Linked DNA regions of Bombyx mori. The protein of the gene in region 3 interacts with the protein of the main gene of each other region in a pairwise test. Links are inferred from orthologs where the notes say so. Each region holds a gene or a part of one and is shown on either strand. Other genes may lie near its edges. The genes, in order: MOXD1 homolog 1, anamorsin homolog and glutaredoxin 3.

Region 1 (10,898 bases), on a different chromosome or scaffold from region 3:
AATTATATGAGTTCATGTAAATCCGAGATTTGATCGTATCGCGAAACGAACGACGCAAAAAAGTAATTTGAATATCAATGCGAAGACAATGCTTATATAAAAATACCTTTTACATAGTTTCTTTATTACGTAGATACGGGTTTCGTGTGTTCGGTAATTGTGATTCTAAAGCACGTTCACTTCAAATGTTCTGACTTTGAATTTTAAATAAGCACACTAGAATTCGATATATCAACTCATATAAATGCATTTCGTTTAAGATGTAGGTTTTATCTCTATTCATCAGAGTTGGAATAATATTCTAATTCAACTGATGTTTCGACGTAATGTCTCCATTGGCTCCAGTAAACGTTAACATCGGTCTGCGAGGTCAGCAGTATTTATTGGTTTTAAAACAAAAGGACTCGCGATTAAATATTATGTTACATGCGAATTGTGCCCTTACGAAAAAGTGAGAGGAACCTCAAACACGTTTCTGATCGATGTTTGATCTAGAAAATTCTGAGGCTACTTCTATAATCTAGACACTCATAGGGACGGCATTTTCACTAACCTTCACCATTCGAAGCAATGTTGAGGCATCATCCTTGTTATAATTAACACCTCAGACACTCCCACGGAGTGTTTCCAAATACGCGGCCGCATGGGAAACATTTTGTTTGATCTCCTTGATGTTTTAACGTAGGATGTTCAGAGTTTGAAAACTACTTTATTGAAACACAAGACAGAAACGGGGCTATCTTTAATTCGATCGTAACAGATCGACTGTATAAAGTTTAGAGGTGTGAAACTGATCGGTTATTTCCTATGTTAACTTTATAAATAAAAACAAAAAAATATATACTAGTTCTAAAACGGATAAAGTTTTTCTTTTGTTATTTGAACAAACAAACGTTGAATAAATTTACTCAACAAATCCTATAGTTCGTTTTAAAACTGGAAACAATAATGGCGGGCGGTAGGGTTGACCTTTATTTAGTACGCTCACAGCAGCTGACTGTTGGGGTTAATTTAAATATAGACGTTAACTTTAATACGAAACTACATAATTATTTAGAAACTTTTGGGTTTTTATTTTTTATTAGCATAGACGACGGGCAAACGAAATACTTACTTCAGCTAATGCTATACGGTTTCCAGGGTCAATACCATGAATCGTAACGTTCCCATTAGGAAAATGTAATCTAGTTAGAGGATTAGTGGAATTAGGATAATCACCATCCTGCTATTCAGAACCCAATATTTGATTTTTCACAACAGAATTAGGCTTTATCACTGGTGGTAGGACCTCTTGGGAGTCCGCACGGGTAGCTACCACCACCCCGCCTCCGCCGTGAAGCAGTAATGCGTTTCGGTTCGAAGGGTGGGGTAGCCGTTGTAACTATACTGAGACCGTAGAACTTATATCTCGAGGTGGGTGACGCATTTACGTTGTAGATGTCTATGGGCTCCAGTAACCACTTAACACCAGGTGGGCTGTGAGCTCGTCCACCCATCTAAGCAATAAAAAAAAGACAGGACGATAAAAAAAAAATTATTAGGGGTCTACTAACAGACAGATAATGCGTAGATAATATGACTTATTAGGAGTCTAGTATAAAAGCGAAGGGCTTTTCGCATTTAAGAGACTTGTTAAATAGTAGATATTAAATATTATAAATTATTTCGTCGTGGTATCACTTTCGTTTTACGTATTGAGATAAGTACGATCGTTTTAAAACAAATATGTGGGTAGGTGCGTAATTCATTTGAAAAATCAAGAACTGAAAAAAGTACTTCTCCTTCTCCTTGCTTCGATTTCCTCAATGCTTAGGGTCGTGACCACTTCCACACAACAAGAGTTTATTGTGGATCACTCTACGCAATTTGTTTGAAATGTTTATACATATATAATATACATATACATACACACGCATATGTTTCTGATCAGCAGACGATTTTGCTGCCCACCTGGGATTAGCTTGAATAACGCTGCATGAAGTCGAAATCTTATTTGTATTGTATGTACAACGGCAGACCTACCCTTCTATTCGGAACGCCTGACTGGTTTTCGGTTCGGAACGCGTGTGATACTATACGCCCTAACAGCAACCCATGTTCTATTAATAATAGGTTGGGGAAAAAGTATTTTCGCATACATACTTTAGTTAATTGTAAATAAACTATATTAATTTTTTTTGTGAATTTTCTTAAAAATGCGAGGAAATATTTTCCCCAACCTATTATTAGAAATCTGAAAGTTTCTTTATTTTTATATTTGTCCTTCAGAAAGAAGCAACAGATTGACATGATATATATATATTTTTTAAATCCTTCTTCTTTCTCTTCTCAGGTTTTTTTTCTTCCTACTTAAGCTGATGGTCAACAGAGACCACGTCAGCGTCACCGGGCGAGTAGGTGAGTCCACGGGGCCTGACGTTGTTGCTAACACAAACCCTAGCAAGAGCCGTGCTTCGCAGAATCTACCACCGGATCGGAAACGCGATCCACTGAGAAGATCCGGCGAGAAACTCAGTGGGCTGTGTCTGTGGGTTAATTTACTTGCCGAGCCCTTCGTCACAAGGGACGGGTTCGACGAGAACGATGATCGAAAATTCGGTCTTCGATCAGGAGAGCGACATCGACTAACTATTATTCCCGAAAAGTCGTATCTCTACCACAGGAAATTACACTAACGCTTTTCCTTGACCACGCTGACGAAGACACGGGTAAATCCACTAAAAATATAATTGAGTACGTCAACATCAAAAAGTACACAAGTTCAGCTGAATCCGCGTGACAACAGTAAGATAGAACGCTTAATAAGCTCCATAATTAGCATATAATTATGCTGGTGTCCATTATTCCCATGTAAAACACGTAAGTACCTACTTCCTACCTATTTAACTGGTTCGTGAGTCAGACCCGCACGTATTTAGGTATGCAATGAAAACTAAAAATACCTCGTTATTGAGACTCGCTGAGGTCGAGGCCGTGCCATACAAACTCGCGGAGTCAACGCCACCGCGGCAATGTGACCATCCTTTCATACTATCGTGATGCCTGATCGTCCTTCTGTTATTCATATTGGATTTCTACATTTCAGTGCTTTTTTTTTATTGCTTAGATTAGACCTTAGATTAGACTTGCTTAGACCTCGCAAGAGGTCCTGCCACCAGTAATTAAGCTCTTGGTTGAAAAAAAACATAAATAATTCCGCGACCTGATTCTAATAGCTCACATACGAGCTCTTCAGCCTTGAACTCTCGTTCTACTATTAGTGTTATGCATTTATTAACCACGTGACTAAAATAGATTTTAATCGTATCTTAACCCGTAAAACCTAAGTAAATAAATAAGCATACCTAATGGTAATACAAATATTCCTACCGTTTACTGAAATTTCAATGAATGAAGAATGCGCAAAATCTTTTAGGTTTTTATAAGCAAAGTGAATAGTTGTAACAGTAATGTGTCGGAAACGATTTCTTTTTTAAATTCTAACAAAAAAATCTATCCAATATTTTCGAGAAGTCATTGTCACCGTGCGCAACAGGAAGTCTCTGTTTAACTTATCTGGATGGCGCGGCCAGTATCGGAGGTGTTTACCTGCCCCAAAATTTCTATGGAAACTGCCCGCCCAATTACAATATTTTTACAATAGATTAAAGAAAACAATGCAAAGTACCCTGAGGGCATGATAGGTTTAAAGTTCACATTATTTTAACACCTGCACAGAATAGTAGATTATACTAAGATTAAATTACTATGACTAAAAATTGTGCAATAAGTATAAAAATGCAAATTTCTTATTTACGTCAATAGTTGTAGCGGGCGTAATATGAACCCGCATGGGCAGACACCACCACCCTGTCTGTTTCTGGCGCGAAGTATTCCTGCGTTCCGTTGACAGAAGCAAGAAAACAATATTCACAATTCAATGGGCCGTGAGCTCTTTTTTTTGGCTACCTATTCTAGTGACCTCGAGGGGTCATACTAGATTCACCGAGTAAGTAGCACCGAGCTCACGGGGCTCTAATCTGGTGACGTTGCTAACACTAGCCTAGCAAGGGCAGTGCTTCACTGAATCTACCACCGGATAGGAAACGCAACCCACTGAAAAGATCCAGTGAGAATCTCAGTGGGCTGTACCTGAGGGTACCGTGAACCTGTTCATCCGTTCAGCCTATGCATTAACATAACAATAGCACTAATGCATTTGTATGTTGATATAAGTGGCGTCTTTATCTAAATAAAATGTGTATAATATTCACAAGAAAATATAATGTCTTTCCACTGAATCTCTCTATACAAATACAAATTTTTCTTCAATATGATTGTTCTATGATTAATCACCCTATAATGAACTTTAGCGGGTCACCGCTTGATTCCTGGTCACTATCTTCATTTAAGATATTTTTCATTCCAATTCAACCGTTAAGTCTTGTTTTATTTGTAATTTTGTCAAATCAGATTATTAGCTTTAGCTCAATGGGCTGGAATGGGCCTCCAGGGGGAATGTTTAACATTTGACATTACAATTTATTTTTTATTATAATAAGGGGACAGAAAAATGTCCAGCTAGTATTAAATAGTTGTTAGAGCTCACAGATATCGCAAAGTGAAACATCACTAATTTTGAAATGTTACTGAAGGTCTGTAGTATTATATCCTTTCCTTAATATGAGATACAATCACAACTGAAATAGAAGGGATAGTTGAACCTGGAACAGTGCAAGGTCACCGTAATTAATTAGTGGTTCTAATAAGTAATTATATGTATTTATAAATACTGCAAGTTTGATTTTTATAATATTATGTGCTTCCATTGAGACAGCAATTCAATTTACTTGCATTTTTATAGAAAAATTTATAGATATGAAGCTGGATAAGTATAAAGGAGAAGCCCCAAGATCAAGGGCTCAACATTATGTTATCACTAGTAATAAATATGACTCCCAGTTATCTAACCCAGTCATTCCGTGATCCAAAATTGTCTACAATTAAATAATAGTGGAGATGAATAAAATATTCCACTTCATAAACTCATTTCAAATCTTTAAACATATAGAACAACATAAAAAACTCAGGAATATTTGCTACAAAGTTAAACAATATAAGATTACACCTGCCCACACTGCTGAGCTGATTAGTTGTTGCTGTCTTTGGCAGGAGTTCAATAATGTGATCTCAGTAACAAGTAACAGTTAGTTGTTAATGTATATTTGAGATACTCTGATTGGGTGCCAGCAGTATACATTAAATATACATTTTAAATAACTTTAAATATAGAATTGTACAAAAATGTATAAAATATTATATTGTCACATATTAATTGAGTTAAAATAATTGGTAAAAATATGTACATACTACTTATTAATTAATAAAATGAAATGTTCAAGTATTATTGTTCTTGTTTTTTTTTAGTAGTATTGTTAAAAAATATCTGTCTACTGTCCTGCCTGTTGGAATCATTGTTGTAACCATTAATGGGTATATAATACAAATGTGGCATATTAAATTCAAAGTTCCAAGAATGAAGTGTACCATCATAATTTTTAGTAATTGAAATCCACTATTTTACTCATAATTGTATCATTTTAATTATACTACACCAACTCGCACGAAATCGCAAAACTTCAATTACTCTTAAAATTACAGTGCTTTCTCTCGATTTACAAAAAGTGAAATTTGTAACAGAAAACATTCGTTGAATGCGTACTTAAGTAGAAGAAAAAAACCTTTTTAAATTTGGAATACCTATGAAATTAATTTCCTGGCTACATGTGCAAAAATCCGAATAAAATCAAATAAATCTTGAAGTTCGAAGATGCCGCCGGCATAGCAGACAAAGTGCAATAAATTAAAAGAATACAAAAAAACTTACTTTCAATTTCGTTGTACAGTATCACTTACGAATTAAAAAGTCACAATAATCTATAAAGTTAGTAAAATGATGCGTAAAATACATTTATTTGGCACAAGACTTTTTCACTTGTTTATTTACGTTCGTTCGTTTGACAGTCGATCGGCACATGCGCATACTCTCACCTCGACGGACAAGCGCAGACTAACTGAACTGAATGACGGCAGTGAATGAAGAGTGAACTTCAAAAAAAAAACGAATTAACTGGTGTTGGATCGGCGCGCGATTGAGCATTGAATGAATTGACAATGAAATGCAAGGCGGTTGGGAAACGAGTGAAACGACACAAAATCTTAATTATAGGCACAAACAAATCCTAAATATTTTTCAATGGATATTGTATAAATCTTTTTTTTTATTAATCCTCATCATGACCTAGAAATTATAAAAAATGGTATTTTTTTAGTTTAATGAGTTGGTGTTTTTGACCTATAAGTCATTCAAATATTAGAAGAAATCAGAAGTAGATTATGACTACGAACAATATAAAATAAGTCCGGTATGAACGTTTAATCAATCATTTCCAATTTAGTATTAGTTTCACACAACACCTTCTATTAGTCACAAAAATGTGGTATTTCCATTGACACTTAGGTACTCTTGATTCATTCAAATCTATATAATATTATTATTGTAATATTTCGCGTCATGTGATGTTTTTTGTTTGTATTACTTAGACGGGTGGAAGAGCTTAGGGCCCACCTGGTCGTATCGGAGCCCATAGACATCAACAACGTAAAACCGGAGCTCAAAGTATCAGTTTTTACAGAAGAACAGCTGCCACACCCTTCAAACCGAAACGCATTATGTACTGCTTTACGGGAGTAATAAAGAGCAATTACGCAAATTATAATTTTTTGCGGTTTGATTTTTATTTCACAACTAGCTTTTGCCCGCGACTTCGTCCGCGTGGAATAGTGAGTCAACCTTAACATATAGACATATGCTGTCGCGAGCTTTTTTTTAGATCTTTTAAAGGAGAACAATTCTGTCATACATTATTTTAGCGAAACTTTAACCGTTTCTGCAGCGCACGCAGCGGAAGCTTTCAAAAGGAAAAAAAAAAGAATTTGAAACATTCTTTATTGGTGCTCCGCTTGCATTGGTCTTAGCTTGATGTTATATTATAGCCTATGGCCTTCCTCAATAAATGGGCTATCTAACACAAAGAATGTTTCAAATCGGATCAGTAGTTCCTGAAATTAGCGCGTTCAAACAAACAAATTCTTCAGCTTTATAATATTAGTATAGATATTATTTCCTTCACTGTGGTAGTCATTCACAAACGTTTGGTATGTATGACTATCATCCATTAATGTATTGTTTTATTTATCAATGCTACCCTCAGAAAAAATGGTAATTGCCTTTAGGAATCGAACACTAGCACAGTCGCATTATAGGTACTATGATAGGACTATTAAAGGTATACATATACAAATTGTCAAATTTATTAGTTCATTTTTTATTATTCTTAAATTTGTAGAATACTTCCAAATCGCTGTATTAATCAGTTTTTGTGACAAATGGAGTTAATAGTTCGAAGTTGGTCTAATGGTATTATTGAACATGACAGAGCTCTTTATTTTTTCATTGGCACCAAAGTCTGCATACCTTTCAGCCCACCATAGTAAGTGGCCATCCTAGCATGGACTACCGCCATATCACTGAAATGCTATCAGAGTATCTAAACATAATCATTATGGTACTTTGGTATCACGTTTACGATAACTGTTACGTCAAGGTGGTTCCTCTTGTCGTGGCAGCTGGTAATTATATACCCGATCCTGTAGACCGAATGGTAAATAGTCGACGTTGCCCAAAACACGTCATTACGGATCCTACCGATCCATTAACGGTGCTTTTAGGTATCACAAGCACTGGTCACCGTCCTCGTCGAACCCGTCGCTTGCGACGAAGGGCGCAACGAGCGAATTAACCCATAGACACATCCCACTGAGTTTCTCACTGGATCTTTTCAGTGGGTCGCGTTTCCGATCCGGCGGTAGATTCTGCAAGGCACTGCTCTTGCTAGGGTCAGTGTTAGCATCACTCCGGTTTGAGCCCCGTGAGCTCACCTACTAGTTAAGGTTACGCTGAAATAGCTTCTCAAGGCTATCAGCATAGGTAGGAAAAGAAAAAAAGTCAAGGTGGAAAACGTAGTATCATAACCCAATAAATTCACAAACCTACATTTAACTAATTACGTTAGCTAGGTACATGTACTTATTCATTATTGAAACCATAACACAGCAAAAGCAGTAAAATATTACGGCAATAAACTTGATTGTATCTCTGGAAGCATACTTCAATACAAAACGACAATTTGGGAACGGGTGTTCGCGCACGCACTCCATACCCTTAAAACAATAACATTCAATTTTCTACTCTCTTATTGCAGTGTAAGTCTTAAAATTATTTAACACCGTTGACCTAAAGGTGTAGGGTTGCTCTTTTATTTTTTAAACAGGATATCCTGGGTAGAGCGTCTGACGTCGTTTCCGAACGCACGGTTCGTTAAAAGTGACTGTTTATAAAAAAAACAGTAGCACGTGCACCTGAAGTGGGTTAAAGAACACGACTTTAAAAAAATATAGCATCCTCTATTTTCTATTTTGTAGTAGGCTATGCGCCTGGCGTTACTATTGTGATCAATGGAAATTACCTACCAGCAAATGGGCCGTATGCCTGTCAACTTAAAATGGTAAGACAAATACAAAAAATATGCTATTTAACATTGCCTGCTGTGGATTCACGTTGGATGCAGGTGGCAACGGACCGGCCGCACTGGACATCAGTTGGAGAGGCCTATGTTCAGCAGTGGACAGCAGACAGGCTGAAATGATGATGATGAATGATGATGATGATGCTGTGGATTTTCCACAAATAACTATGACCTAATGGCCCAAATTTACCGTGAGGTTAAATATTTAATTGCTTTACGATATTAATTCATCTTATTCACTCATATTTCATCGCGCTCACATACTGTACACCACTATTTTAACTAATCAAAAATACCTTATCTATCTCCTGTCAGTAACGAACATATTTAAGTTAAAAGAAATTATTAAATTACTTTCGATAAATTAGTTTTTAAAAGGACATTATGTGATTAGACGTGACATTCAAACCCAATAATTTTCTATTACTTTGTGTACACCAATAGCCAGGGCTCAATATTTTACCGCGAATTTTTGAATCGAATGAATGAAGGAAATACTTAAACGTGCTAACCTCTTCAGGGACATTGGCTCTTATTTAATTTTAAACTTATTTTATTTTTAATAGGTATGTTTACATGCATATGGATATTTAATTTTAATGAATAGTCACTTTTTTTTTCAATATCAAATGAACAAGCGCAATAAAGAATAAATTAAATTCATATTTTTGTACTTTAAAAAAATCGTCCTAGATGTTTTTGTGTTCTAATGTTAATAACTGTGCTTCAACAACACGTACGTAAATACTTATATATTTCTACATCTTCATGTGTAGTCCCTTATGCGAATCGCTATTTCACACGAACCACAAAAGATTTGATTATTTTTCATAAAACAAGTCGAAAGCAAATTAAAAGTTAACTTATTAATTAACAGAGCTCATTAAACCAAATAGCTGTCATTCCTTATTTGAACTCGTTAAAACAATTTCAACTTCGCCCGATCACGCCATTAAAGCTAGTTTATTAATAAATTAAAACACCGAACACCGCTTCATCAGAATGTTAGCAGCGAAACTTTCGATACAAGTATGCGATGTCATTAACCCCGCATTAACAATTTTGTTTTACGCGATTCGCATTAATTTAGCGTGACCTTGGCCATTTGCTCGGTAAGCACCAACACGGACGACTCGTGACAGATGTAATGCGATAATATCATTCGTCTCCATAAGGGGTGAAGTTTTTATGGCTGCACCCAAAGAAGGAATGGTTGACTTGAAAATTCATTAAAGAAATGAATGAATTTTGTGTTTGCGATGATCTGTTTTAACTTTTCAGACACTCGAAACTAGATACGGATTTTGTGTTTAGTGATTTTGTAGTTTTTATACTGCTTTTATTTGGTATCGTCTCCGGTCTTCGCGAGTCATAGACGTAATTAAAATTACCACTACTACACCGTCTACCGTCCGTGACCACGAAACCTGTAAGGTATTCGAAGCGTACGTAATAATTTAACTATAATACGATAAAAGCGAGATTAAGCAGTTTTAATTTACTATTTAATCAGTTTTGTACAGTCCTGTCTGTATTTTAAACTAAAGGACGAATTAAGACGACAACATGGATATTTGCTATAGTTAGCTTTATTCATTTCGATTTTGCTCAATAGTCGTTAATTTAAAATTGCGCAAAGAAAAAAATAGACAAAAATTAACTAAATTACGGAATGACATTGGTTTGGTGTTTTTTCTTTAAGCGCCTAGAACAGACTAAAGCGTAGTCAATGATCAGAACTTAGCTTTGTTCCCTCTAGCTGCCTGATCTTTCTGCAGTATCCTTTCTATACGACTAATGAAGTTATCAATAAATTCTTGGGAAATCGCTTTCCGTCCAAATGTGAATCGATTTCGGTCGACTTCAGTCTTCTTCACATTGGTCTTGTAATCGCTCATACTTCATGTTTCCAGACGGTGAGCAGCGCTCATGCTGTGATGTCTATGAGCTCCGAAAATCACTTAAAAGCAGACGTGCTAGCAGCTATTTTATCTATAGCAACAAAAAAAAACCTTTCATGCGACGACAAACCAAATTCTATTTTTTTATCTATTGCTCATTTGGCTACCGGAGCTCACAGACATGGATTACGTAGAAGCCGGCACCCACCTTGAGACGTGGGTAGTTTTTTTTTTGGTGTTAAGTGGTTATCGGAGCACATAGACACCTACAATGTAAATGCTGCCATCCATCTCGAGATATGAGCTCTAAGGTCTTAGTTTTTACAGTACAACGGCTGCCTCACCCTTCAAGCCGAAACGCATTACTACT
Region 2 (10,708 bases), on a different chromosome or scaffold from region 3:
AAATACTATTAACGTGAAACAAATATTATATTAATGATAATTTTCATTTGTGTTTAAAATATGCTTCACTGCAGGAACAAGCAGCAATACCGTCTTTACCATAAGAGTACACGGGGCCCGTGCCCAGGGCCCCCATTCTCAGGGCGCCCGGAAGGACCGACAATTTCTCTCACACATTTATTCTCAAAACATTGTTGTCGGGCACATTACACTTTTTTCACAAATCAGTAATCTTATCAGAAGGTAATTTCGAGGCATATACTACGCCATTATATCGATGACTGCGCCTATTCCTACTGTACTAATTAATAATATTTCCGAACGCATCCTACCTAATTTACTAAGTACACCATCTAGCGTAACAAAAAAACCAGCAGCATTCTAATATCATTAATGAAATATTATATCATACTGTATTTGATTACCTATATAATAAATGGTCATACTCAGTAAAAAAAAAACATTTTTTACTTTCCAAAAGGGCCTCAAATTCTTGTGTGCCCAAAGGCCCCAGCCTAATTTAAGACGTCCCTGACAAGCAGGGTGGTGGTACCTACCCGTGCGGACTTACATGATGTCCTACCACCAGTAGATAGCTATACATGAATCTACATAACAGATATTAAGGAAATATTTCTGTTAAAATAAATGGTTATAAAATACTATGTCATTTATTTTCTGATCGAAAATAAAAAAGCAAGTTAGAGGGCAAACGTCCCAGAGAAAGAAGTCCCACTAGATGGTCGGACCAAATTCGATATTCTCTGAACATCAAGTTCCACGATTGCCCTTACGAAGCTAAGGATCATATTAGATGGAGGGGAAATCGTACGCGAGAAACCGATGCAGCGTGCGAGTCAGGTCCCTCACTAATGAGTAAATCGACGTGAAGAGAAGGAAATTTTAATTCATGTTTTGAAAATTATTAAATTCTTTTTTTGAAATTTAATGAATAAAAGGAAAAAGAAACTTTTGTTGCTGCGTGTACTCTCAATACTGTTTTCTGTAAGTACAGAGTGCAAGTGCACTCGATAAGAATGAAACTAAGTGAAAGGGCGGAACATTGTTTCACAACCTATTTATTCCCTAATTTTAATATGATTTCCGTTTAATTGTGTTACAAATTACAAATGACTCTTCAGATTAAAGAAAAACGATAAAACAGTCAACAAAATGATAAATGATGACATAACACTTTCTTGAATCACAAGATGGTATTTGAAACACAAAACCTCAGAACAAACATGTTAATGAAGAAATACATATTCACAGTAGTACAGACAATTATTTATCAATTTATTACAAATGATAATGGAAACCACCACTGTTCCCATATCTTTCATAATATCAAAACCATTGTAAATTAATTTACATACCACTTTTAATAAATAGGTTGCATTTACAATATTTACATAAATAAAACTATTGTTGATTGATATACGAATACTTTGGTGTAAACATATTTTATTGTACATTCTATAAGTTGCCAATCAAAGAATAATTTACAATAAGCTCAAACATTTGCTTATTGTTTTTGCCATTTACACAGAGCGCGAACCACCGATAGATAAGACTCTATTCATGGATATAAAGCGCGTAGCATCGGAATACCGACTAGCGTAGTTTGATTATAGTTATCGTAATCGTATCGTAAGGTAATTATTAGGTATCGACCTGTACCAAAGTGTCTTACCACCATCAATACCATTTATAAATAACCCTTTAAAATGATCTTGCTGTGAATTTAGCATTGATTTTTGTATATTTTGAAGTAAAAATTTTATATAAGGTTTTATATTTTAAAAAATTCTGCAAAATATGTGAAAATAAGCTTAGCACAAATAAGTTTCAAATTTAAAGATGATTCTATAAAATTAAAATCCCGAAGAATAAATGTGTAAAAAATTCAAACTAATTTACCACTCAAAGCTTCTTTATCTGGCTTTTTAAGGTCATTTTCATCCAATAGTTCGTTCTCATCAATAATATCATCGTTGTTAGTGCTGGCCCAAGCTTCCTCAACTGTGCTGTCCAACTTCCAGACTGTGGCTTTTCCATTTAATTTCAGAGATGACTTTGAACCAACCTGTGTTATTAAACAGCTATTTAGTGAAATAAAATTAAGTTTTTTCAGTATTTCCAAAAATATTCTCAAATGTAGTACACTAAAGACACAGTTAAACAGGGCTCCATGACTGTTGGTTGTTCTTCCTTTGAATTATAAATTTCAAGACATTTAAAAAAAAAAAATTGGAGTTATTTTCATTTCATAAATATAAGTATGAGCTAATATAAGTCAGCTATTGAAGCAGATATTAACATCTTTGCCAGAAATTAGTATAAAAAAAAACTGCAGAAGTTATAATTGGATTCCGTTTTGAATGGCCGAGAAACCCTTGTACTAATGCAGCATCAAACAGTTATGTCTCATGGCAGACAGCATTCACATTGTGATGTCTGTTGGTTATGGTAACCAACTGGTAATTAACATCAGCTTAAAAATATTTCAAAAGTCTAATTAACATCAGCTTAAAAATATTTCAAAAGTCTAATTAACATCAGCTTAAAAATATTTCAAAAGTCATAACATGTTTACAATTTTTAAACAACTAAGATATGCCTACTAGGCAGAGCCTGGCAATTGGTATTAATGCTCTTAATACTATAGTAATATTATACCTATAATATTATACTTAATACTATAGTAATATTATATATATTATTAGTATATATTATATATTTTTGAAGTCGTCGTGGCCTAAAAGATAAGACGTCCGGTGCATTCGTTGTTGCGATGCACCGGTGTTCGAATCCCGCAGGCGGGTACCAATTTTTCGAATGAAATACGTACTTAACAAATGTTCACGATTGACTTCCACGGTGAAGGAATAACATCGTGTAATAAAAATCAAACCCGCAAAATTATAATTTGCGTAATCACTGGTGGTAGGACCTATTGTGAGTCCGCACGGGTAGGTACCACCGCCCTGCCTATTTCTGCCGTGAAGCAGTAATGCGTTTCGGTTTGAAGGGTGAGGTAGCCGTTGTAACTATACTGAGACCTTAAAACTTATATCTCAAGGTGGGTGGCGCATTTACGTTGTAGATGTCTATGGGCTCCAGTAACCACTTAACACCAGGTGGGCTGTGAGCTCGTCCACCCATCTAAGCAATAAAAAAAAAAAAAAAAAAAAAAAAAAAAAAATACCCCCTTGAACCAGGTCATTGGTAGATGGTAAATCCTTCATTTCAAACATTTTTAATGCATACCTCAAACTTTGGTTTCTCCGCAACATATCTGTTATTCTCCAATTCAGTGACATTTACAAAACCATTTAATTTAAGTGTACTGGTCAATTTGTTGAGATCTTTGAGTATAAGTTTACCATTTGGTTTGAGTAATTTAATGATTATTGCCAATAGTTTATCAGAATGTGAGACACTGTGGGGAGGTAACCAGTTTGAGAGAACAACATCAAATGATGAATGCTCACGGGAACCTGAAAAATTATCAAATTTAATTTAAACTTTTTTAGACTATCTTAAAGCATTAAAACTAGGATTATCTGTGTTATGATAACGAGATTAATATACATAATTTTATACAGTTAAATATATACATACACAGATATTAAACACTAGACATAGAACAAACAAACCTGTTCATTACAAACATGATTGCTTAATTTGGTAATAGACATCACAACCTTCTGCCCTCGTCAGGGGCACACTTCTGGATCACCAAATCAGTCAATACCGGGTTTATCAAAACACAACTTAAAATAGTTACAGTTTATCTAAATTTACATTGATAAACAAACCTTTGATACCTGACATTGGAATCATTCTATAAATTGAAACTTGAACAACTTTGCCAAAACATGTTAGGATATGATGTAAATAAATATTATTTTGCTATTTTAAAGTTTTAAGAATTCGGTTGTGTCCTGACTAAGTTACATGCTATTTTATACATCAGAGTAGATGAAATAGCAGAAAAACAAGATTTTAAAATTTAAACATTACAAAAAAGCACACAATTATTTTTCTCATACATTTTCTGAGATAACCAAATCAATTATAAAAACTATAGAATACACGTAAGAGAGAGTAAGTAATAAGTAAGCACAATACTACAGCCAACTTAAAGAACCCTATTTATAACATATCTATGCACAGATAGATTTCTGATCTTTTTTTTCCGGTAAACACTTATAATCGATTTGTGGAGAGCTACTTAACGTATGAAAAAAGTATAGAACTTTTCCTAATATAAAAACTTTAAATTCGATAAGACCACTAACTGAGAATTAAGAACTAAAATGTATAATTTACCTTCAGTGATCATGTCGGAGTTTTCCAGAACCACAGTATCACTTTGAATTACTTTTTTTACGTCTTCTATTAGGCTCGTAATGTTTCCTTGACTGTCGTTCTTCCAAATAATAAGAACATTGTCTCCGTTTTTCAAGTTGTCCATGTTTGTAAGCCAAGGATTTTTAACAATGATTTTACAGTATTTTTTAAATAACAGATAACGAAATTATAACGCAGTTAATTTGTTTCCTTGAAAAAGATAACAGGCAATTGGTAAATTTCCTAACCAGTGGCTGCTGGCTTAAGTAAATGATTATAAATAATGAACAATGATGAATTTCAATTCAATTGTCAGGCACTTCCCTTCTTATTTTTTCAGTATGGCAATCAGCTTTTTCAAATGACATTGTTGCCACTATCTAGTTCATAAAATCTACATAATTACTATTTACACAATTTGTTTAATAATTGTTGAACGGATACAATACGAAACGGAATAGAAAAATTTGATTGATCTGAAATGGAATGAAATTAAATCAAATAAAATGGGATAAAATGAAACAATGCCCTAGTACTATAATAGGAATTCACTGAACCTTCGGTAGAATTGGACTTTGATAAGAAAATAGTAAAGTTTTGCTTTCGCTGCAAAACTAGAAGAGTCCGAGGAGCCGTGTCACATTTATGGACATTCGTAGACGCTAATGGATTAATAACCCGCAATTATTACACGTATAATGCAACAAAAACACAAAGTTAACTATTTCCTTCGTAGATTCTCTAGACTTTAGATATCAACCTAAAACGGCATGCAGATATAAAATGTCGATTAGTATTTTTACACGTAAGATGAATAGCATTATTATTATTATAATAAACGGGTTTTTTTTTATTCAAAATTAAACCATTTTATTTATCAAATGCCAACACCACTAAAATAACCTTAAAATTTGACATTTTGGTTTTAAAACATTTGTTTTTTGTTGACAATATTCCTACAATGTAAAGAACAGCTGATGTGGACCTAAACAATAATTTATTGAATTGTGTTTATCTTAAGAATATTATCGTGTTGCAAGGGAGGCTCTTACTTCAAAAGTGAAAATTGTAGATTACTTATAAATTAAAATACGTTATTAAATATTGGAAATGTTTCATGAGGCTTTCCTTGCTGGAATTTGGGGATCTGCTGGAAGCGCTTTGGGGAAGCTAGCTGGAACTGAAAGTGTAGTAGTAAGTTATTTAGAAGTGTTTATGAAATTGATAAGAGTTAACGACACGACCTGTTACAATTATTAAAGCTTATGACGATTTAAAACAAAACAATGTCAAATAATGATTTAAATAACAAAATTTGAATAAAACGACAAAAGTTTATCCTGCTATTTTTCAAATTGTATGTGAATGTAAGTAATTTTTGTAGCTCTAGCTATATTGTATGACTACATTATCTAGGTCAATCTTTTTACTCGTCATACATCATAATATGTATTAATTAATTTAATGTTCAACTATTGAACAAAATTAGACTATAAACTACACTTCAAAATGTACTGATAAAAAGATAAGAAAATTGCAATACATACTGTTTTATCTTTACCCATTAAATATAGATAATGTTGAATGACTTACCTTTTTTTCACTAGTTTCAAGAAAAGGCTACTCTCATTAAAATACAATAATGATTAAGAATAATAATAATTATAGTAATAAACTTAGATTATACTAGATGGCGACACTTGTATAGTGCTACAGTAAGGTTGGACGAGCTCGCGGCCCACCTGGTTTTAAGTGGTTACCGGAGCCCCTAAACATCTATAACGTAAATGCCGCCACCCCCCTTAAGATATAAGTTCTGAGGTCCTCGTTTTTACAGTACAACGGCTCCCCTACCCTTCAAACCGAAACGCATTACTGCTTCACGGCAGAAATAGGCGGGGCGGTGGTACCTACCCGTGCGGACTCACAAGACGTCCTACCACCATTGACTATGCAAATTATAATTATGCGGGTTTGATTTTTTATGAAGTTAATCGAGAACATTTGTTACGTACATTTTTCATTACAAAAACTGGTACTTGGCTGCAGGATTCGAACATCGATACATCGCTAGCTACGATTGCACCGGACGTCTTATCTTTTAGGCCACGACGACTTCTTAACTTTCAGTCACTAAAAATAGTAGGTACTGTTTCACAGCTTATCATAGATAATAAATACCTACAATCAATAAATAAATTGTACCCTTGAGCTATAAATTAGTAATTTATCTTTTTACCTCTAATTATCCTGTTTAAAAAAAAACAGAGCTCATTCTAACTTTAAAATCTTAGCATTTGACGACACTAACACACAATTCATATTCATATGTTAGTGTCATAGATCACCTAAATCCAGTATACAGAAACGCAAAATTGTTTCGCGATAGAAATAGGAGCCATGTCCAGATATTTTTGGAAACCCTGACCCTGTATTTTCCATTACAATAACATTGTCATAAACGTAGATTTTTTTATAAGCATAGCTGAACTATTCCGGTGATATATGTTTGACCGATAAACATAGATAATAGGTCATAGACATCACAATGTAAATGTTGCCGTTCACTCGTATGGGTTTACGGGATGCATCCACCACCAAGGGTTAGTCGGAATCAGTGTCGGAGTGGGCATCTGAAATCTCTATATTCTAAAAACAAACGCGTTCCTTCAGTTTGTCGTTCTGAAGGGGAGTAGCAGTAGCTGTATTCGCTAATCCGCATACCCACTAGCACTGGCTGCGGAAACTGCGTTTTCTGGCGATAGGGCCTCTTATGAGCCCGAACGCTAAAGGATAAGACGTCCGGTGCATTCGTGTTGAGCGATGCACCGGTGTTCCAACCCCAGGCGGGTACCATTTTTTCTAATGAAATACGTACTCAACAAATGTTCACGATTTACTTCCACGGTGAAGGAATAAAAATCAAACCCGCAAAATTATAATTTGCATAATTACTGGTGGTAGGACCTCTTGTGAGTCCGCGCGGGTAGGTACCACCGCCCTGCTTATTTCTGCCGTGAAGCAGTAATGCGTTTCGGTTTGAAGGGCGGGGCAGCCGTTGTAACTATACTGAGACCTTAGAACTTATATCTCAAGGTGGGTGGCGCATTTACGTTGTAGATGTCTATGGGCTCCAGTAATCACTTAATACCAGGTGGGCTGTGAGCTCGTCCACTGGGCATTGCAGCAGTATCAGTAGGTAGCGACAGTGAAACAATTCTTCGATGTTACATCGAAACACTCAAAAGCAAAAAGAAACACTAAAATAAAGGCGCATTTACATTAATTTGACAGGGAGACAGCTATGCTATATCCGGCGTTATCTTGATAATCATGGTCCTCGTTAACACGTGGAGTAGCAGGCATTACTTGCGGTCACTGGACGCTGCACCTAACTCGGTCGCACCCACCGTCATATCCGCAGCTTCTAGCTACGTTCTATCGGTAAGATATTTTTACGCATTCTTTAAAAGCCCACCTCTACCTATGATATGTGTGCAAGTATGAATGGATGCAATGGAATTTTACCATTATTTTTAACTGATTTCTAAGCTCTCAGACTATAGCTGTGCCATGAAATCTGACAGTTATGTACTTTTCTTGACAGTACAATATAGCCAGATTGTACCGCAGTCGCTTTATTTACCTTATTTTACATTTAACATTTTTTTTATCACTGTCAAATTCGAGTTGAATATAGTTACATTTGTTGAGATCCAACCGAAGGTTTGGCTGCCAAGCGTGCCGAGGAATCAGACAGACATACATCATACATGCCAATGATGCCATGCCATTTATGTTACAAAAAAAGTCTCCCACGTCTTATTTATTAGGTACTTTAACACGTTCAACGCTACATGAAAAATGGAGAGTTTTCATTTAGGCCACGATGCTCACCGGTGAGCCTTATCTTACTGAACCATTCGGGCCATGAGGGTCACCCGCGAGCCGCGTGAGGGTTCCAACGTAAACGCTTCCTACAAGCCACAGATTGCAGCTATCAAACAAAGCGCGTATGGAAGTGAGCCGCGTGACCCTCAGCCGTAGAACTGGTGGCAGGACCTCTTGTGATTCCGCGCGGGTAGGTACCACCACCCTGCCTATTTCTGCCGTGAAGCAGTAATGCGTTTCGATTTGAAGGGCGGGGCAGCAGTTGTAACTATACTGAGACCTTAGAACTGATATCTCAAGGTGGGTGGCGCATTTACGTTGTAGATGTCTATGGGCTTCAGTAACCACTTAACACCAGGCAGGCTGCGAGCTCGTCCACCCAACTAAGCAATAAAAAAAAAGAACGCCATGATTTTCAAATTCAATAGAAAGTTGTAGTTTTCATCATAATTATAGCCTTTTAAAATATCTTAATAACTAAACGGTAAAGTCGCTAATTTTTATCTTCCGTGGAAATTATTGAAATTTATAGATTTTAGAATGAAAATCTCAAGTTCATAAAAATTACTGATTCCCTGATTCTGGCTTGGTAGGAATGGTATAGTACGCTAGGCCCACCGCTGTCATGTCGGTCTGGGGACCGGCGAGGGGGGCCTAAGAAGACGACGTGCAAGCTGTTCTGCACGCGTTTTACGCAAGAGCATCCGGGTGATGGAAGGTCGGCTATCCTCGACCCACGCTGGTTCTGGCCCAGCGGGGTATTCCGTAGGGTAACCCACTCTAACCGGCGCCATCTAGGCGGGCTTCGGACAGTCTGCCGACCGAGAGGGCTGGTGGTCGTGGCGCCGACGACCGCCAGTCCGGCGTCCCGAGGGGGAGGGTGATGGGAGAGATGTGCTCCGCACTAAACGCTTCACTTTCCCCCCTTTGCCTTGTCATGAGTTCTGTCTCATGCGAGGTTTGGACGTTGGTTGTTGAACGACAGGAGGTTTTAGTCAGTTCGACTCTGACATACCCCGCCCAGTATCCCCAGAAAAGGGCGGAAGTCCGGCGATTTCCTCCACTCCACCTGTGGTCGAAGACTTATGCCCTTAAGCAAAATATGTCTCTTATGTAGGTAAATAAAATAAAGAGTTTCAAATGTCTAACCTCGAACTTTATAAATACTTTATTAATAAACATTATCAAACTTAAATTATCAAAATATGCGGGAATCATGCACAGATCCAGGCCATTGCACAACAATATCATATATTTCCATTTGCGGTCCACATACTATTTGGACATTGATAGAAAACCAGCCTTGAGGAACGTTCAAGGTACGTCGCGACGTACCTTGACTTGACAGTTCGCTTACTTCACTCCGGTTAGGAAAATTTTCCAAGGACGTTTGAGTGGAGTTTATTTTTACGACTAATCATACCAAAACGCGCGTTGGAGGTTGAGTCGAGTCGAGTTAAGCTCGTGTAAACGACTAAAGATACGGGTGTAAATCGTGCTGTTTAGTGAAAACCTTTTTAACTTATTCATAGTAACGACTTCGTCGAAATCATTTGCGGCACGTCCGTATACCTCACTGCGTATAGTAGGTATTCACCGTCCCAAAGAACCCTGTGTCTATGTTTGCAGGTTCCTTAGCCTAGAACCAATCTAATACGTCTAATTGACCAGGGACTCGACGTCTTTCTTCTCTATTCTTGAATCGCCTTTGCTCGATTCCATCTAACTATAGGCAGCAGCTTGGCTCGGTAGGCAGCGGCTCTGCTCTGCCTCTGGCATTGCTGAAGTCCATGGGCGACGGTAATCACTCACCATCAGGTGGGGCGTATACTCGTCTGCCTACAAGGGCAATAAAAAAAACTATGTCACATTTGTGTGTCTGAATATGAAACATTCTCTTATACTGTTTTTGGATCTCATTTACTAACTTGCATAATAACCTATCTCTATTTTTTGCAGGGTTTTATAGGAATCGTGTTATTCGAAGAGCCATCAAGTACCCAATGGTGGGCAGGCGCAATTCTCATTATAATGGGGTTAACATTAATTGCCCGACCGAAGGATAGAGATAAATTCACATAAGATTAACTTTGATTAAATTTTATTTGTTTAATGACTAAGGCATTCTCTATCAGTCAACCAAGGGTAGTGTGAGAGTGTACATGTATCTGCATTACGTCATAGAAAAAAAATATATAAATTATTCAACTATTTGTTAAAATTTCAAATCATTTCACGTGTTCAGCATAAATAAAGCAGAACATCGCCGTAAATGTAAAATATGAAAGATATTTAACATTTAAGGTGAAGTTTTTACATTTTATATTACGTGAGAAGAGATTTGAGGCTTACAATAAAACGGCTATTTTCTAAAATATAATAACTAAAATACAAGAACTAAGTTTATTAAAGTACATTATAAAATGTAGTAGATATAGAAGAATTTTAATTTGAAGTGGTC
Region 3 (10,748 bases):
CACTTTTTGCTGATGTTTGTTTTAGCCGCGTTTTTTTTTTGTTATACTGGATCGTTCAAGTAAAACTTGGAAATATATTTATATATTTATTTTAAACATAAGCACATTTTGTTACATTGAATTAAATTTAAAACTAAGCAATGAGTCTTGTACTTGTAAAACACATAGTTTGAAATGATATAAAGCTTTACAAAATTACAAAACATGAATTAAGAATATTATTAACATTACTTGATGCTATTGAGTAGTACTCTTGAGGAGTATTCTAAACACAAAATATTACCTTAGGTAATTAGTTTCAAAATTTATCCAAAATTAAAGAAAATGTGAGGAAAAGCTTTGATGTGGCTTAATAATATTATCTAGCTTTACATTAGAAAATATCAGTATAAGTCATAGCTGTTGGGATTACGTTAATACATTCAGAAACTTGGCTTTGCTCTGAAATCACTGATGTACAGAAGCAATAGTAACCACTTTGATTAGGACAGGGTGATACGTGGTAACAAAACACAAATGATTCCACTTTTAACACTAAGATGTAATCATTAAAATGTTTTAAAAAGTAATTAAAATACTTTAAATAAACTATAAATTAACAAAGCAGAAAATTTAGGTCAACTCTATACATTAAAAGGACACGAATCTCTCCACAAAATATTTTTTAAATTAAGTCTCAGATATGTTATGAAGAGTTAGCTTTTTTTGCTTGTAGTTCGTTTTGAACTTTCATTTCAACTAATGCATTAACAGCTTCACGGAGTTTCGATTTCTCTGCACCTAACATACTTATTTTCTCCATTTGTTCTGTAACAAATTCTACTCTTCTCTTGAAGTAATCTTTGCCACTTTCAATGTCCTAGAAGCAGAAATAAAACGTAATACAAACATATGTCAGCATCATTAGCCCTAAGGGGTAACCCATGCAGTTAATTTGAAATTATTTGAAACTATATCATGATTCAATCTTCATACCAATATTCTAAAGTACTCAACATTTTCTGAAATGAGGTTTGAAATGAAAACAGCAGCTATACATGATATATTATCCTGCCAAACTTGGAGCTGAATTAAGTGTTAAATTAGGTTTAAATTTATTTTTAACTAGCGCCCCCCCTCGCCTCGCTTCGCTTCGGAAACATTAAATTTTATTATTGATAGCTGAGTCCCGCGATGTTATCCCGTGGTACGACAATAACCGACGCCGCGGGCCGAACCTAATCTAAGAAGTAGCCTAAGTTACTCCTTATATCATCAGCTACCTATCAGTGAAAGTCTGGTCAATATTGGTCCAGCCGTTCCAGAGATTAACCGGAACAAACAGACAGACAGGCAGACAGACAAAAATTGTAAAAAATGTTATTTTGGTGTATGTACTGTATATATTCATATGCATGTAGTAAAAAGCGGTTATTTCAATATTAAAAACAGACACTCCAATTTTATTTATATGTATAGATTTAAGTTACTCACTTTCTTAGCGTAATATCCAGTGCCAATGTCAATAATGACATTCTCAACATCAGCTATTGTGCCAGGAACATACATTGAACTAGTCAATGGAACAAGCATCGGTTTTCCTTTGATATCAGGCGTCATCTTCTCTAGAACATCTCCTGATTCACCAAACTTATTTTTAGCCATTTGTAATGTTTGTATTGAATCATGAAATACTGTCAATTCCTGAAATAAAATTTTATGGATTTTGTGTGAGAGTATTGCCTTTTTTTCGGATGGAGATAGCTGGTTGCAAGGAGGCCACTACTGCTTCACTAAGATAGGCAGGGCAAGCATGGGAGCAGCCAGGAGGAGTCAGATTTACTAACAGCTGCCCAAGTACTCCCAAAGTAGACCTAAAGACTAAAGGGCAGACGTTTTACTAATGCATATTGTAACATAACATCAGTTACTAACATACAGACACATTTTCACTGGTGGTAGGACCTCTTGTGATTCCGCGTGGGTAGGTACCACCACCCTGCCTATTTCTGCCGTGAAGCAGTAATGCGTTTCGGTTTGAAGCTGTTGTAACTATACTTGAGACCTTAGAACATATCTCAAGGTGGGTGGCGCATTTACATCATAAATGTCTATGGGCTCCAGTAACCACTTAACAACAGGTGGGCTGTGAGATCGTCCTCCCACCTAAGCAATAAAAAAAATGTCTCCCTCAATTTAGTCATTATGTTTGATGTTCCATTTCTGGCTAATTATAGCAATAGCTACAATACAATAAAGAAAAGCGGATATGACCTGAAGCTGACTGTTTACGAAATAGTCTTCCAATAAAAGATCAGAACAACAACATGATGACTGCTTGTCTACCAAAAATGAGCACATTCAGTGAAGTCTTCTCTTTAACATATCTTAGATTCATAGCTTTGTGAGTTGGTATTTGAGGTCCGGGTTCATGTCACTAACAAGTACACCTAGATACACAACTCAGACCAGAAAACATATGGAAATGTTTTCATTCCGGCTTTCATGAGGGTCCTTAAAATAGGACATAAGTCCTGTCTCTTAAGGACATTAATAGTTACGACATTTAATAATTATCTGTATAAATTATATTATGTTGAAGAAATAATACTTAATGCTTACTATTTCTAAAATAGCTCTATAGATATTTCCTTTATACATACCTGGTCTAACTGCTGTTTCAATTGAGCTAGTTGAGGCAAAGGTAGTTTGTTTAAATCGATTTGTTGAGTGCCTGAACCGGATGCCATCTTTGTAAATATTAATAAAAGGAAATAATAAAAGAACTTAACACACGTTTCTAGTTATTCTATTTAGTTTTTTGTAGGATCCTAAGACTATTTCTTTTTTCTAACCTCAAAATAGGTAGATTTCGGGTAGGATCCAAAACTTCAGTCAGAATATGTCAATTTGACAGTTTTACTTGTTTGGTCCAAATTGACATGCAAACAAATTCTGCCTATAACACCAAATAAGTGAAAAAAACAAATCGATAAAGAAAACCTCTTAGTAAAATGTTGAGAATTTACAGAAACTAAACTGGATTTATTAGTGTGTATCAATTTGGCTAGTCATATTGGTAGTTTTCTACCAATTTGACCGCTAACGAAAATCGTATTAAAGAGGTTAATAAATTTATAAGTTAACAATTATGTTGCGAGCATTTCGAGAGAGCAATGACTAAGCAAACCTTTTAATCACCATATAAATTAGCAAAAAAATTGGCTCAGACACAAAAAAATCTACCACTAAGCTTGATCATTAACCGTAAACAATAAGATGGCTAAGCGATTTTAAATAAATAAGATATACATGACATAATATAACTTCGCTGTGTTGCTAAAACTCCTTATTGTGTACATCTATTTATTATTTATGACTCCTTTTGCTTGTCCAAAAAACAAATCAAACAAAAAAATTTGGCTCGAAATAGAGATGATGATTCGACTTCAGACCAAAATTTTGAAAAATCGATTCTAGAAAATACCCAAGTGCAACCAAAATGACACAAAAATCAATCAAACAGAAATTAACAACAAATTCATTCAAAAAATTTAATAAATACATGATTTATATACAACAACTTTTTAAATTATTATTATTTAAAATGTAAATTTAAATTTAATAAACATTATATTTAATATATTCATAATCAGTTGAACCATAAATACTTTATTAATGCCTTTTCATCAAATTTCGATTTTCTACTGCTTAAGATGTTTCACTATTCACGATTTAAGTTGTTAACAAATTAATTTACTCAAGTATCGATCTTAGACCACATCCCTAATCAGAGATGTCAGAAACTGAATGAACATGATTAAATAAATTGTAATTTTTGCATCGAGTACACCTACGATTCCGGATCTTGCTGTAATTGTAATTCAATCTTGCTGTAATCCAGTGGCGCTTATATACTGTTTACAAAATTTATTAAAGTAACCTAAACATAGTATACTGAAATGTCGGTCAGTAAATTGGACTCTGTTGAAGATTTTAATAATTTTATAAGGTAAGAATCACCGCTAATAAAAAAGTACTTTTAAAACCGTTTGTGAAAGGATCATTAAAAATAAGCCATAAAAAGAAATTAAATTAAATACACAGTAAATAGGTAAAAATGTTAGATAATAAATTACTATGTAGCAGGATGGTCAACATTTTGCATTCATTGAAATGGAAATATGTATTTAGAATATAAAATTGAGAATATTACTTTCAATTAATCTTTTATCACAACAAGATGATTCTTTAATATCTATCTTGGTATTGGCTGATATCAAAAATTATTTAATTAATTTAGATCACCTGCACTTGGAGTAGTACACTTTTCAGCAGAATGGGCCGAACAATGTAAACAAGTTACAGATGTACTTGAAGAACTCTTAAAACTTCCTGAAATTCAGTCGAGCAAGACACAATGTGCTGTTTGTGATGCCGAGGCACTTTCTGAAGTTTCCTTGCAATATAAGGTAATGCTCTGCTAATATATTGTTAAATAAAAAGTAATAAGTGCTAACCCTAAAAATGTAGTGCATCATAAAGCACAGACAATTAAGTCACCTATTGCAATACCTGTGTATACTTTTTTTATTATTTATTAAAGCCATACACTTATTAGGTTAAGTCGGCTTATATACCTTTATGGATACATCAATTTGTATCTTGATTTTGGTTACTCAACTATGCATTAAAGACTTTATGTCATTCTTCAGATTGAAATAGACTACTTTAGGAAACACTACACTAGACCAGTTAAGCAATCAAAGAGCCTATGTAATTGAATATTGAAATAATTTATAATGAAAACAATCAAAATAGGGAAAGCCTGTTTTAGACAACTTATTAATGATTATGTTTATTTCAGGTAGATTCAGTGCCTACAGTTATATTATTTAAGAATGGAACTCAAGTAGACAGGATTGATGGAGCAGATGCTGCTCAAATTAGCACAAAAATTAAAGCACAGAGTCTTAATAAGAGTCCTGCAGAAATAACCCCTCAGAAACTTGAAGATCGACTAAAAGCTTTAATAAATAAGCATAATATAATGGTATTCATGAAAGGGAACAAGGAAACTCCAAGATGCGGGTTTAGTCGTACTCTCATACAAATTCTGAATGGAACAGGGTATGTATTATTGATGAAATGATCAATACCTATAATTTGATTGCACTATTTTACATGTGTAAGTATAGATGTGACTTTGTCATGTGAAATTTGGCTTGGCCCTCGAGACAAGTTTTGTAAAAACTAAAGAATGGAGAACATTTTGCCTATTTCTACAAAACAAATAGGTATGATTTAAATTGCAAAATGAAAGATTTTTAGTTTTCTATTTTTATTTATTTTGAATGAATATTTATAGTGAATATATACATATAAAAATCACATGCTTTCTTACTCTAATGTAAACAGCAGTCCATCTTCACCAATTTGATTTGATATTTTCATGACACTCTTCATAAGTATGAAATCATTTTTTTTTTATTGCCTAGATGTGTGGACTAGCTCACAGCCCACCTGGTGTTAAGTGGTTACTGGAACCCATAGACATCTACAACGTAAATGCGCCACACACCTTGCAGAAATAGGCGGGGCGGTGGTACCTACCCGTGCGGACTCACAAGAGGTCCTACCACCAGTAATTACGCAAATTATAATTTTGCGGGTTTGATTTTTATTACACGATGTTATTCCTCCACTGTGGAAGTCAATCGTGAACAATTGTTAAGTACGTATTTCATTAGAAAAATTGCTACCCGCCTGCGGGATTCGAACACTGGTGCATCGCTACATACGAATGCATCGGACGTCTTTTAGGCCACGACGACTTCAAAATTACCTATAAACTTGGTTTATTTTCACAAGTAAACCGTGGAATAAAAACTTTTCTGCACTCTTAGCGTGTGGCGGGTAGCCATCATACAACGCAAGATAATTGACAGATGCCTGAATCTCGCTTATGACATTTTCAAGATAAAGCGCATATATCACACATCCCATCACAAGTGGGCTGTGAGCTCGTCCACACATCTAAGCAATAAAAAAATAAAAAAAATACAAGTTCCGAACAACGACATTCGGACCGTCGGTCTACCGAGCAATATCACCCGCTCGGTGGAAGATCTTTCCTTTCGTCGTTAAGACTCCCAAAGCGCACATCAAAACACTCCTTTTGGCCTGACATAGCTTTTTTAGTACTTTTTTTGTTGGTCACATGTTTTTAGTGTAGTGCTAGAAATAGTACTGTGACGTGCTCGGGTTCGGGATAAATAAAACTTTCACCGAAGTACAAATTAAAACTCTATTTAACTCTTAGAACATTTAAGGCACACTTCATAATTCCTTTACACAACTTTAAAACGCGCTGAAGGCATTCGAAAGCAATACCGTCATCTTGATAGGAGTTATGAATACGATAGGGAAAAGCGACAATACGGACCAACACGACTAAGGGAAGCAATTTATTAAAGTCTGCGAAAACCACGACCTTGTTATCGGAGGTACACTTTTCCATGATAAAAATATACATAAGTATGCGTTGACTTCACCCGATGGCAACATACGTACGAAGACCAAACTAGCTGCCAAGTGTTCACAAAAAGTGTAGTGCCGATATCGGCAGTGGTCATATGTTGATGGTCGCTGAACTCCGGCACAAGGTTGCGACTACGAGGCGAGCAGCTGGCAGCAACAAGATACGACTTAAGTTCGATTGGGGACAACTTGATAGAAAGATTTCTCGAAGTAAATTTGCTTTGGAACTCCGAAATTGTTTCTTCCGTCTCTATGCGAATACTGATAATACAGACGAAGAGTGCAACCGAATCAAATCTATCAAGAAATCAGATCTTCTGTCTTAGATCATCTTGGAAAAAAGCGCGATGATTGGACCTCCGACGACACTTGTGACCTTAAACAGACTTGATGCGATCTTCACCTAAACATCCTAGAAACCCCGAACAAAGCCGAACGGTCTTGCCTTAGGGACCAGTACAGTCAAATACGTACATGAGTGCATCTATCGCAGCACCAGAAAATACAGGCGACGATCTACTGACGGTAAGCTGAATGTGCTCAAGCAGCAGTCGATACGGGCAACCTGAGGCAATTGTACGGTGACACCAAAGAGCTGGCAGGGAGAAAGAGACCCAAAAGAAACTGCTTTGGGATAAAAACAGAAACTACATCGCGACTTCAGAAAGTTATCTTGAATGTTGGCGCGAGAACTTTCAGGAGTTTTTGAGCAAATGAATTGTCCTACCATCTCCTTCATCTCCAAGCTCAACCCTACCATAGTTTTTAGACATTGACACTTCGATACCGCTTCGAGAAGAAGTTGAAGCAGCTTGAAGTACAGGGTGGCCCATAAGTCCTTTGAAAAGTAAAATTTGAATAAAATGAACAGGGCGCGCGTGAGCGGTGCAGGGGAAGCGGGGGGAGTAACTTCGGTTTCTGGGAATTTAGTCGCGATGGAGCGTTTTACCGGAGCGGACCGTGCGTTTTGTGTGCGCGAGTTTTATAAAAACGACAATTCGGCAACCGTTGCGCGGCGTAAATTTCGAGAACACAAAGGTTTACACAACTTTGACGACACTCCAACTCTTCAAACGATTAAGAACTGGGTTGCTAAGTTCGAGGAGACCGGTTCGACGTTAGATAAACCGCGGTTGGGTCGCCCAAGGACGTCACGTACGGAACAAAACATAGACACAGTGACACAGTCTATTCGCGAAAATCCGACACAGTCAACTCGTAAGCGCGCCAGAGCATTAAACGTATCCAGGACATCGTTACAACGGATTTTGAAGAAAGATTTACATATGCACCCTTACAAAATTCAGTTGGTTCAAGAATTAAAGGAAACTGACGGTATTCAAAGACAAAATTACGCGAATGAAATGTTGAATCGGTTTACTTCCTTCAATAACATAATGTTCTCTGACGAGGCTCATTTCCATCTTAACGGGCATGTTAGTAAACAAAATTGCCGCTATTGGAGCCCCATCAATCCAAAACTTAAGCATCAGAAGCCCTTACATAGTCCGAAAGTGACTGTTTGGGCCGCTATGTCAGCCCATGGTATCCTAGGGCCTTACTTCTTTGAGGATGGCAGAGGGCGCGCAGTTACTGTTACGTCGGAGCGATATGTGGCTATGATCGAAGAGTTTTTCATACCAGAATTGCAAAACTTTTCAGGCTTTAATGCCAGGACGTGGTTTCAACAGGATGGGGCCACTTCTCACACCTCTAACACTGCTATGCCCGTTATCCGTCAACTTTTTCCTGGCAAAGTTATCTCTAAGAGAGGAGACATTTCCTGGCCTCCACGTAGTCCAGATCTGACCCCGATGGATTTTTTTTTGTGGGGCTACCTTAAGGCTAAAGTATACGACACAAACCCGCGGTCAATTGAGGCCCTAAAAGAAAACATCCGCAGAGAAATGACAAGCATTTCAGCAGTGACGTGCCGCGCAGTCATCGACAATTTTAGACGTCGTTTGCAAGAGTGCCGTGATCGCAACGGATTACATTTAGGAGATGTTATTTTCAAAAAATAATTCCCGTTTTTTAAGCTTTTTATGTAAATAAAAATTTAATTCATAATGTAATTAGTTTTATTTTAATAAATTTTTTTTCATATCAAAGGACTTATGGGCCACCCTGTATATTTTCTAATAAGAGTGGGAAAGCACCAAGCCTCGACTTTTATAATAGGAGAAATGCTTAAAGCCGTCAACTGATCCAGAGGTCTTTATGGATTCCTGAAGATCTACCCGATGACCGGAACAAAGGCCTTTAATCATTGTTCTCAAGAAAGGTGCCCTCAGTGAGTGTGGCAACTGGAGGGGCATTACGCTGCCTTCCGTGCCATCAAAGATACTAAGCAAGATCGTTCTGATCAGATGGGCGAAAACAGTGGAACAACTTCTTCGGCAAGCATAGACTGGATTCCACCCCAATCAAACTTGTACGGAACAAATAAATACTCGAGGAAACAACAAAGTGGCAACGCGATGTCAAAGGACACGCTGCATTAGACCAATATTTGATAACATCTTGACGAAATTCTCGCAGAGTTAAACTCAAAATCCACCGATTAAACGTGAAATTTGTCTTGTCCAAACAAAAAGATCATGCAGCCGATTCAGGTTTTCATCAGACGCTGCTTACTGCAAATACTTGGCATTTTCTAATTTGAGAAGTACTCTAATGAATACTTTTGGGAGGCGTGTCGGGAAATGCCAATTCACAAGCAGATCATGCGCCGGAAATGTACATGGAGAGGCCATACTCTCAGAAGAGAGCCCTCACACATCCCACACGTTTTAAACAAAGCTGGCGGCGTAATGTGAGGCGGAGATGAAGACAATCGGGCTATTGTGGCCTGAGTAAAGTGCATAGTCCAAAACCGATCGCTATAGCAAAATACTGTTGAAGCCCTATGACCCATCTAGAACCTACGGACCATAAACAAAAGAAAACATGCTTTCCATTAATACTGTAAAGTATCAGTAACATCTTAAATAATATAAAACAGAAAATAGCGAAATTAAACCGTAAAAGTAAAACCATTCGAAGAAAATACTATAACAAAAACTAAAAAATTTTTACCTAGATAAAACGACTAGCATAAATACTTTATGATAGGTAGTCCTTATCAATCCGTTATCATAGTTATTTGTACTGATGACGTAGGTCTAATATACTAGTATCACAAAAAAAATTGTCTTGAAATAAAAGCAGCATACATCAGACCCAATCGTGGAATGTGTAACTATTCTCTGTGGCATTGCATATACATTTATATGACAACCACTTCCCATCAAAATTCGTCTCCCGCCGCTAACAATAAAGGGTGCTTAGAGTTGACTGAATTTAGCAATTTTAATATGTGGACGAGTTTTACTAACAAAAACATAAGTTTATTTTTCAAACATCAAATAAAGGCTATCTGACTGGTTAGTAATTTATTAACACACGCCAATCTAAAACTCAAACCATTTAGTTAACTCATTGATGATACTTTATTTTATTCCATCAATAATTTTATCTCCATGACTGAAAATCGGAAATCCGTGAATTAGAATCGTTGCGTCTTGTGCGCTGAACAAAATTACTCACGTGGCCATTTTATAGCATTTTCGTGTGATATGAAATTGAAAATTTCGCTGAAATAATGTTACTTGCATTTTCTGATAATAATATATTAATTTTATAAATGGGTATACCGTAACTAATAAACTTTTTACTTATTTTGTATGCAAATTGTTATGTTCAAAAATTCTTTATATTTAAACAGGTGGATCTTTGTAAGATCTTTTATAGGATCTTTGTGTCTTAAGTTATTTGTAATGCTAACACACTATGAGACTTTGATGTCTTGAAATATAAGATTTTTGATTTGTAAAGGATTCAAACTTAATTAACGACTCTAATATTTTACTGGCTCAATTTCCTCATGCTCGTCATGACAATTGCAGTCAGTTCATTGATGATGCTTTATGGGCAGGTGGAAATCTCTAGAATACTGAAACTTTATTAGCCTCCGTTAGCAAGCTTACACAAACAACACATACAATATTGTTTATTCTAATTAATAAGGGAAAATATACTTGGATAAAAAAGGATTTATTAATGTTACGCGCTGGGTTACGGAATAAATAAAAATTCTACCGAACTACAGATTAACACTCTATTTAACTTAAAACACTCAAAACATTTAATGAACATTTTAAAATTCTCAATTAATTTCTTCCTCTTCG

Evidence for each region.
Region 1: the proteins of glutaredoxin 3 (region 3) and MOXD1 homolog 1 interact in binary tests that used the Homo sapiens proteins (3 or more experiments, as listed by UniProt). The link is inferred for Bombyx mori from reciprocal best matches to the Homo sapiens genes GLRX3 and MOXD1.
Region 2: the proteins of glutaredoxin 3 (region 3) and anamorsin homolog interact in binary tests that used the Homo sapiens proteins (3 or more experiments, as listed by UniProt). The link is inferred for Bombyx mori from reciprocal best matches to the Homo sapiens genes GLRX3 and CIAPIN1.

What each region holds. Positions count from the first base shown.
Region 1 is NC_085109.1:4,825,699-4,836,596, forward strand, and holds the start of MOXD1 homolog 1, read right to left. Parts: upstream 6,097-10,898; 5' UTR 5,867-6,096; intron 1-5,866.
Region 2 is NC_085117.1:10,720,907-10,731,614, reverse strand, and holds the start of anamorsin homolog, read right to left. Parts: upstream 5,255-10,708; 5' UTR 4,914-5,254; intron 4,833-4,913; 5' UTR 4,481-4,832; coding exon 4,336-4,480; intron 3,501-4,335; coding exon 3,271-3,500; intron 2,087-3,270; coding exon 1,921-2,086; intron 1-1,920. Other genes in the region: uncharacterized protein LOC101735621, read left to right, coding at 5,467-5,550, 6,406-6,498, 7,651-7,800, 10,207-10,329. UniProt on the Homo sapiens protein: Component of the cytosolic iron-sulfur (Fe-S) protein assembly (CIA) machinery required for the maturation of extramitochondrial Fe-S proteins.
Region 3 is NC_085112.1:5,055,644-5,066,391, reverse strand, and holds the start of glutaredoxin 3, read left to right. Parts: upstream 1-3,737; 5' UTR 3,738-3,941; coding exon 3,942-3,991; intron 3,992-4,282; coding exon 4,283-4,451; intron 4,452-4,846; coding exon 4,847-5,109; intron 5,110-10,748. Other genes in the region: prefoldin subunit 5, read right to left, coding at 686-859, 1,474-1,683, 2,643-2,729. UniProt on the Homo sapiens protein: Together with BOLA2, acts as a cytosolic iron-sulfur (Fe-S) cluster assembly factor that facilitates [2Fe-2S] cluster insertion into a subset of cytosolic proteins.